2 linked regions of the Drosophila melanogaster genome follow. The protein of the gene in region 2 interacts with the protein of the main gene of each other region in a pairwise test. Each region holds a gene or a part of one and is shown on either strand. Other genes may lie near its edges. The genes, in order: CG16863 and comr.

Evidence for each region.
Region 1: the proteins of comr (region 2) and CG16863 interact in a two-hybrid assay, tested with the Drosophila melanogaster proteins (one large-scale study listed by BioGRID).

What each region holds. Positions count from the first base shown.
Region 1 is NT_033779.5:13,788,726-13,793,788, reverse strand, and holds CG16863 (uncharacterized protein), read right to left. Parts: upstream 2,831-5,063; 5' UTR 2,762-2,830; coding exon 2,625-2,761; exon of another isoform or gene 2,572-2,624; coding exon 2,194-2,571; intron 2,125-2,193; coding exon 654-2,124; 3' UTR 525-653; downstream 1-524. Other genes in the region: Eato (engulfment ABC transporter in the ovary), read right to left, coding at 3,488-3,932, 3,999-5,001.
Region 2 is NT_033778.4:21,864,369-21,869,007, reverse strand, and holds comr (cookie monster), read left to right. Parts: upstream 1-2,148; 5' UTR 2,149-2,214; coding exon 2,215-4,017; 3' UTR 4,018-4,138; downstream 4,139-4,639.

The sequences.
Region 1 (5,063 bases), on a different chromosome or scaffold from region 2:
CTACTACCACTGCTTCGGATTTCCCTCTGCCCACCGCTTCCGGAAACAACAGCCACGCAACTTTCGCCTGCTGCCTTCTGGGTGCTCCGCCAGCTGTGCGGAGTGCTCCTCTCGGTTGGATTGTCGTGTGGCGGCACTCGGTGAGTTTTTAGCGTGTCGTGGATGTTTGCATGTTGCAAATCTCTCAGTTTTTCCACATTTACATTCCCTTCAAAATACGAAAAAACGTCATCAGAAGTGTGACCGTGTAAGCGAAAATTACTGAGCTGTCGGCAGTGTTGGGAAGTTTTTGGTATTCTCTCGGTTTTGGTATTTTTGCTAATTTGCTGGTGTTATTGTTATTTGAATTTGTAACGGCGATTTGTGATAACAAAAGAAAAAAGTAAACAATAAAGTTATATTTAAAATAAATTATTTGTGTAAATATGTGTAGTAAATAGTACTTACAAATCTTTAATGAATATGTGTTCGTTATTCGTTCCCTACCTCTAATTTTCTAATACAAAAATAGTTCCTTAACGCTTGAGAAGCTAAAAAGTTAAAAAATGTATTTTATAGTTCGCATTATTGTAAATGTAAATTAATAAATTAGTTAATAAAAGGGGTACAAAAACACAGTGCTCAACTTAGGTTTGGATTGATTATGGACTACGCTATAACTGCCACTCCTTCGTTGGAATTTCCGCCATGAAGAGTATGTTTTCCATGTTGTTTTCGATTAGTCTGGCGTACTGCGCCGCAACCGCCGCTCCTTCGGCCGTAAATAGCCGATCCGCCGGCTCTGCGGTGGCCGGAACGTGCAGGTACCTCTGTGCTACGTTGTGCAGGAAGGGGTGAGCTTCGGCCAGTTCCTCCCAGAGCTGAAAGGGATCGGCTCGCAGGGTACTCATGCCGGCGCAAAAGTATCTGGCTATCTCATCGTCCGCCTCGGGACCGTTGCTGCCGTTTACAATCCTTTGCTTCCCATGCGAAAAGGATTTGAATGCCGCCCAGATATCGTAGTGATCACGGTTCTCCGGATGCTTTGCAACAGCTTGCTCCCCGCTGTCCACATGCGCCTGCATCATGTCATAGAGTTGAGTCATGTACTGGGCCACCAGGGCCCCACTCCGGAAGGGAATATTTCGAAAGCGTGGGTCCAGCAGACTTGCCAATGCCAGGTGCAAGTTGCGCTCCATTCGTTCGAAGATCTCCTCCAGCTGCTGAACCAGGAACAAGCGTATTTCCCTGGCAACCATGTGTTCCGCACTCTTCTCCTGCTTCAGTTCGTTGATCAGAGTTTGGGCAATGGGCAGGGCTGTGCTGGCCGCCGGATATGGTGTTCGACTTAGCTCACGCATGGAGCTGGTCAACGGCCTCAGCACGTCCAGCAATTGCTGACACAAATCCACCTCCGATGTCGAAAGCGGCAGCGGCTCTTGAACGAGAGTCTGTTTCAGGTATAAGTCTAGCATATTGTACACACTAATCGGTCGGTGTATGGAATCCAGTTGGGGATTCAGCTGCAATGTGGACTGCACATGGGAACGCACCTTGTCGCGCAAATGACGTATTTCTGGGCGCTGCACCACCTCCTCTAAAATAGAATTCAATTGGTCTGCGAAGCAGGGAACATGATGATGAGCGCCCATGAACGATGTCACCGCATCCTCCAGTAGTTGACTGCTCCTTGTCGACACGCAGCAGATCCTTGACTTTGGAATGTCGAAGCGCTGACACACTTGGTCCATGCGATCCACCAGATCGTTGGAGGTGAAAAGATCGGGAAGGCGCAGCACAGAAAGAGTTCGGGAGATTCGTTGCCGCCCCTCGTGAAAGTGGGCCACCAGCTCCATCCAGCTTCGACTCTCCGCATTCGTGTGCACCGAGCAACTTAGGCTGAGTGTCGAGATGTCGGCCAACTGCTGGCAGAGCTTGGACCTCTGCGCTTCCGACTCCCTGCAGATAATGGCCTCCAGTTTCGCCGCACTCGGTGGTCTGTAGGTGGGGCACAGTACTTTCACTAGGTGCTGGAATCCCTCGCCCTGCACAATCTGCAATGACTGGCGGTCACGGCAGACAAAGAAGGCAATGTCCTTGTGAAACGGACTCTCGCTCGGCAGAGGTTCTTCCATTTTTAAGTTGCTGGGTAATAAATGAAGTTTACTACAATTGTATCTATCTTCTACCTTCTATCTTTTGATTAAAACTTACTCATGGCCGGCAAATGGTACAGCATGAATTTGGGGAAGTGGGCTTTTCTCCGACTCATCGAGCTCCTCCTTGGGTTCGAATTCGATGATATCGTCGCCGCCAACCGTCTCCGTTCGGGACACTGTGGCCTCCGGAGAGACCCACGCATACCCGACGCTCTTTGTTGAGATGCGATCCTCAGCAGCCGCCTTGATCATTCCTTGATCATCCAGCTCGATAATGCCGCTCGCATCCTTGGCAGCCTTGAACAACAGCTCGCTGTGGAAATCAGAGCTCTCTTCCTTGAAGGGAACAACCTTCCGGAATCGCAGCTTGTCATCCTGCTCCCGCCGCTTGTATATGCCCCGCTCCACCACCACATCGTCGTCGAAGAGGTTTCTTCAAGAAAATTTTCATTGTGAAAGGTTTTTGAACTCAGGAGCCTTTCCTACATCTGCGGATGGGTCTTCATGTGCTTCATCAGATTGGACGTGTTGCCGCTTGTCTTGATTACTTTCTCGCAGAGCTGGCACTGCGCGGAATTCCGATCCAACTTGTCGTAGAACTTCCATATTCTGCTACGCGACATATTCGGCATAAACGATAAATTAACGACGAAAAAAATGAATATTTTGTAAATAACGCTACATTAGTGTGGCCAAGTGGGAGATTTTTTGAGAATTTGACATTTCCATTAGCGCCTAAGTCGTCCAAGTAATAATAGTTTTATATTTATTTTTCTCATAATTAAATATTCAATAGTCAAGCTGGATAAAAAAATTACATTATGTATTACTTTTAATTCTTGAATGAATCGTTAAATTCCAAATATAGATCGTTTAAAGTTCCTTTTGGTATTATTATGAGTGGTATTTTAAAAATACTAAGGCGGGAGATTTTAAATTAAAAAAAAAAAAAAACGGGAGAATGCTATAGTCGAGTTCCCCGTCAATCAGATACCTGTTCCTCTACCAATAGAAGGGTATAAAACTGTTTTTAACTTCTTTTGAATTATGATAATTTACCTTAATCCCATAATCAATGCACATCAAATATTATGTAGAAATATTTATTATAATATAAATAAAAAATATTATTTATTTGTCGTACTAGTTATATCTTACTTTTATATTTTAGTTTTATATACCCATGTCGAAGGTGTTTGTTTGGTTTTATTAGTCCCTAAATACATTAAGTAGATTATTCCCACCGGATAGAGATTCATAAAAGTTCCATATTTGAGGGAAATAATGAAATGTACGACGCCCGTCTTCTGCTTATCTTACTTGATACTCCGACACTCCGACTATCTGGCCTAAACGTAGCTGCATTCCGGCCTGCGTTGCACGGAGGTTTGACGTGACGTCGATTGTGATTTCGCCTCTCTCTCGAACTTGAGGAAAATATCCTCGAGTGTGCACTCGTTCACCGAATAGTCGGCCACGAGAGCGCTTAAGCGATCGCCCAGATATTCCTCAGCTATCTTGAAAACACTTGACCAAAGGACCACACTCTCCTGCGTGCTAACAAAGTAGGTGAGTGTGCCGGCATGGCTCTCGCGCAGTTCCAGACCAGGAAACTCTGACTTCAACGTGCCAGTGATCGTGGACACATTCATCTCCGTTTCGGTGTCCGCCTTCATTTTCAGTTTTATCGTGAAGCCGCTTAATCGCTTAAGGGCGCAAATATTGTTCAGACACTTGAACTTTCCGTGCGCCATGATGGCCAAGCGATTGCACAGCTCTTCGCACTCGTCCATGCTGTTTGTAGAGAATGTGTACACTTTTGAATCTGTTTGAAAAGGAAATATACTTTTTTGGGCTTACCTATGTGATGTGAGCACCACTGTTCGATCCTTTCCCTGGAAATCCTTGATGCATTGCCAAAGAAATCGTCTCGAGATGGGATCCACACCGGTGGTAGGTTCGTCCAGGAGCACCAGTGCGGGTGCACCAATCATGGCCATTGCCGCCAGAAGCTTGCGTTTCGTGCCGCCCGAATAGTGGCGCACTTGCACCTTTTGATATTTGGTCAAATGCATCTTCTCTAGCCAGTACTTCACGTGCTCCTTGCAGCTGGCTGGTCCATCGGTCCTTCGGCGGCTCAGGCCGCGCAGCAATGCCATGTAGTATAGGCACTGCTCGGCGGTCATGAATTTATTTAGTGCATCGTACTGAGGGCAGTAGCCAAAGTATTCCCGGTATTTCAACTCATGCTCGCGAATGTCTGCGCCTTTGATGCGGATAGTGCCACCATCTAGAGGCAAATTGGCCGCTATCATCTGAAAGGTACTTGTCTTACCCGCTCCGTTAACACCCAACAGACCAAAGCATTCACCCTGGGCAGCCGCAAAGCTGACTCCGTCCACAGCCAGCTTATCGCCGTATCGCTTGCGAAGATTGTGCACAATCAGTGAATGGTCGTTCAATGGGTCTTTTATCAGATCGGTAACCCGTTTTTCCTCCCTTGCACAATCATCAATTTCTGAGATCGGAGTACTGGGAAGGGTGCCTGTCGAATTGTATTTCTTTCTTTGGAATGCCCATTCCCAGATGCCATCATGAATTCGTCTGCGCAGATACTTGTGTTCCAGGACTATGGTAAAGAATGCCATGACCATAACACCCACGGCGGTGGCATAGGCAAAGAAGGTGTCCTGGCTGATAAGACCCTTTATAAGTGCCGGATGGCGTCGGGTTATAAAGTTTTCATTGATGATGCGAAACTGGTGATTAAGATTGAAGTCCGGTAGGAAGCAGAGGAAGGCGATCTTGGTCTCATGCAGTTTCATGGCCGCCGCATTGCTGGAGGTGATAAGTGGGGCAATGGCTAAAAGAAAATGGGTTTTATAGTTTTTCTAATTGTTGTCACTGGTTATAAAATCAAATAAT
Region 2 (4,639 bases):
TGCCTGCACATTTCAAAATCCCATATTCCAAGAAATCCCTTGCTTAATGAACTAAATTGTAAACTCTTTCAATATGTTTAATTGTGGCATTTCTCAAGAAAACGATACGATCATTAATATGCATTGTGTTTTGAAAAATGATTTTTCTGCATGCTATATGGCAAAGTGATATTTTAGCCGCTAATTGTCAAAGTCCACCAAACTTTGGCCCTTAATATGCAGTTCGTAAAATTATGAAATATATTCATTTATTTTAATTAGCTTAACCTCAAGGCGAAGAAAGCGAAGAGCAGAGAGAAATAAGTTCAATGAGACCCCAAGGTTTGCCTTCTGGCAAGTGAAATGATTGATGGATTGGAGCTCCATTGTCTTCACATGAGTCACTAAACCACGAGAATCTTATAGAGCGTATCACTTGCTGCAGTGACTCACTCTAGAATAAGGAAATATAATCGAAACTGGAATCGGGATCGTAAAAATGCAATTCAGATAGCGAAAGGGCGGAAAACAGCTGGAAAAATTCGGGGCTAGAAGGTCGTGCTCAGTCGTCTTCATCTTTAATTGCTTGGAAAACAATAGTCTAAAAGGAAAACCGATGGAGTAGCGCCCCATAAACCATAAAAATGCATAATCTACGACCACTTGACACGCATTAAACAAAAACAAAACAACACTACGGCGGCGGCATTCCTACTTTTATGTTTTATAACGTTTTCAACATTTTATAAAATATTTTTTAGACGAACGAGATGGGAGATCTCCATATATAGTTGAACAATAGTTGTCCCCAGATAAGGAGTAAATAAAGACCTCTAGCTCTCTACCCGTAAAATTAAACTGAAACCGAAACTTATGTAGTGCTTTTTATGAATTCATATAGGGCTTCCGTCACACGACTAAATCAGATCGTAAAAAATGTACAACAAAAGAAACTTTTTCGTTCCGCCAAAAGAAAGAGCAACAAAAAATAGGAAGCAATGAAAAAATTGAAAGGGGTTTCATTGTCAAAATCACGTGCGTGCTGGTATACTATTTTTTTCCAACTGGACTTGTAAATTTATTCGTCATATACAGCCGTTGTTCTTGTTATGCAGCTTTTCATGGGCTGCCCTATGATTTTCGCTCGGAAATTACAACTTTGTCATCAAATTCGGACTGTAAACATTACAACTAGTGTAATAAAAGAACAATAAAATTGGCGGAAATATTCGCCAAAGAAATTGAGCAATGAAATGCATAATTATATTCACTAGACGAACTATTCACATCAGTAATTTACCAATAACTAAAGAAGCTATAAAGAGCAGGGTATTATAATATTCAATAGATTCAAGCAGCTGACGACATTTTTTTAATTTACTCCTGGTGACACGTGAGATTATTGCATAAAATTCTTGTCAGTCCGATTTTTTTCGCCTGTGCCAAAAACTCAGCAGTTTGTTCATCCAAATATCGTGCATCAGTCAGAATAATTGGGGGGGTGTTCGCCATGGATGATTCGTGATTAAAGGATGTGTATTAAATATTCATATGAATGTCAATTTAAAGCTATCTCTTTCGGCACAGTGTCACCCTCTCTTTCTCATTGACTGGTTATAGACCAGTTGAGTGCCAGTGTTGGCGGCTTTTTGTTGTCTCGGCTTTGGTCTGCATTATTGTTGATATAGCCCATGAATCCCCAATTGAAAGGCTTCCCTTACTTTCCTTTTTGAACTTTGCCGCCCTTGGAAACAAATGGGAGGGTTAAAACTGGGGGTTTTGGGGTTATAAATAACAATAGATTTATTGCAAACAAAACATGAAGTGCATTCAAATAAAATGAAAGGAGCTTTGTTTGGTTTTCGCCTGTCTACTCTTTCACTAAAGCTAAATTGTGTAACTTTAATTTATCAATAAGAATTTTTGGCAGCAGAATAATAATAGTGGAATGCAAGGCTTATTTAACATGTAAAAAAAAGAAGTTTTGAACATTAAGTGTGACTGCTTAAAGTACACCGATGAGAGTGTGTTTTCTTAAAAATCATCGATAGAAACTGTAAAGGATAACAGAAAAACTTAGCAACACTTTTTCCGAATGGAAAACAACAGCAGGGCAACCCTTAAAGTGGGCCAACATTTCGTTTGTCAGTCCTCATATTTTTCCGGCTTGCTCGTTTGCCCGAATATTTGTTTGAGAACTAAAAAGTCATCGAAGTTTGTAAATACAAAAGGATAATGTCGGGGAACCAAGACACTTTGGGCCAGTCACAGCAGGTCAATGAAAGTGGTGATGAATATGAAGAAGACGCAGCAACAAGTTGGACAAATGAGTTGGAACAGCAGGAGTCCAGGACGCCAGCGGATAGCCCCGAGTTTCTGGATTTTGTGGACTCCGAGGATCCGCTGGAAGATTTCGAAAGAAATCCTTTGCAGAAGGAGCCCCTCGATCTGGCAGTTAAACCTGTTTCCGACATCAATAAGAAGGCAGCGGAGAATCACAGGCGGATTTACCGACAATTGGGTATCCATATCCCGGAAACGCCAAAAAGCCATCCTCTACTCCATTATGCATTCGTCGTGAAACTGTTCCTGGCCACCGATAATAGCTCCATTCACTACCTCAAGTGGTCGGCAAATGGCCGCGAACTGGAGGTCGATTACCAGGGTATGCAGGAGCATTTGTCCAGCGGGTGTTCCATGTTTCATTGTCGAAATACATTGCAATTTACGGGCACTCTATTGGCCCACGGATTCGAACGCGTTTCATTGAAGGATGTGCGTAAATCCTCAGCCACCAACATCACGCTGATCTATCGGAATCCAAATTTCGTTAAGGGTCAGTTACTCAAATTGCATAAACTGGCTCAGGAATGTGAGAAAATACCTGAAATTTCAAGCCCGGGAACGGCGGAGCCGCGACGACCACCTCTGCACCTCCCGAACTATGCCCATATTTCCAGGATGGTACGGCGAGGAGATCTCTGCTCCACTCCCTACACATCCCGTTCTGCTCTGCAAGTGGCTCGATGTCATTTCCAAACTCTGCTAGGATATCAAGCCGATCTGGGTGTCCTTAAGGATCGCAACAATCACGATATGTTCAACAAGAACATTATGACGCAACTGAATGTGAAGAGGGGGCGTTCGTCTATCAATAACGCCCCCGTAGACTTAGCGCCCAGTAAAGTTTCCTTTGAGAAATTCGTAAAGCCGCACGAATCTGTGATTAATATCGGAATTGGCCAAGCTCCCGATTATGCCGGTTATTATGGCCAGGTCGAGCTATTCAAAGTCAACGAGTTCTTCTCCGAATATCTGCCGCGCTATGGTAGCAAAATCACCGGCTACAAGGAAATAGTTATGGATGCCACCAATAAGTCCATTGGTTTCCAGCAGAATCTGCCAATCGGCATGAATTACTCGGATGATGAAGACGATGCCCTGCCACCGATTTCATCGGACCTCGACTTGGACTTCATGCCATCCACCTCAGCGGCGGCGAAGATGAAATCTACAGGTCGCAAGGTAGTGGAGGACTCGGACTTGGAGCAGGCTATGCAGGAATTGTGCGGCGGTTCTAATCTTAACGAAGAGGAGGAACTTCCACAGACCAGCACCAGGTTTAAAGCAAAGCCCAAACCAAGAGCCAAAACCAAAGCCAAACCCACGAAACGCCAAGCTAAACCCGTACATTCCAGTTCCAGCGAATGCGAAGATTTCAAGCCAGACGAAGTGTATGAAGGTTTTAAGTCTAGAAACCCAAAGAACGTTAAGTTAAAGCCTAGTGACGAAAATATCTCCTATACTCTTGAAGAAGGAACTGATTTCGAGGAGCAAGTCATAGAAGAAACGACCGAAACCAAGGTGCAGGATTCGCAATACGATGACCTGGATGATGACGACGACGACGAGGAAGAGGATTACTTCGACGAGGATGACGAGGATTATGTTTACAAAAATTTGCAGTACAGGAACCCTCCTGAACCGCCAAAAAGCCGACGCTATGATCTACGCAACTCCAAGCGAAATCCTCGTTGAGTCTGCCACTCATTGGAATTGTATGGTATATCTAAGGCAACTAGGAGTTATTATTTGTTAAATCAAATACTTGACTGTGTGGATTTGTGCACCAAACAATTAAACGTTATTTAGTAACTTTAAAGAGGATTTTATTTAAAACTTACGGTACGCATCTTCGGACCATTCACCTCTGCCATATCTTTTGTTTATTCAACTTTAGGCCCATTCCTTTAACCATCTTCCATTGGGCATATCTAAACCTTTCATTATAGCTTTTGTTGGTCTTCTTCGAAGGCAATAAGTTTGGACATATGGGCAATTAAATCGCTTATCGCTCTTTGATCTCTCACGCCCTCAGTGCCCCATTACCGAGGCCAATCAAAAGTGTAATATCATCTGGAAATATCTTACCAATTCGAACCGAGGGCCAGCACCCACACGAACTCACAAAAACCGAAAACGTATAACCAGAAAATAAAGGAAAAAACCAGACAGGGGCACAATCAGTCGGATGTTTACAAGTTTTATGAGCCACCAAATAACAAGATGAACAACAGGCAACCGAAAACGAAACCAAAACCAAAACCAGAACCAAAGCGAAACTTAAACGATACTTGATTTCGAAGGGATTTCGGATTTG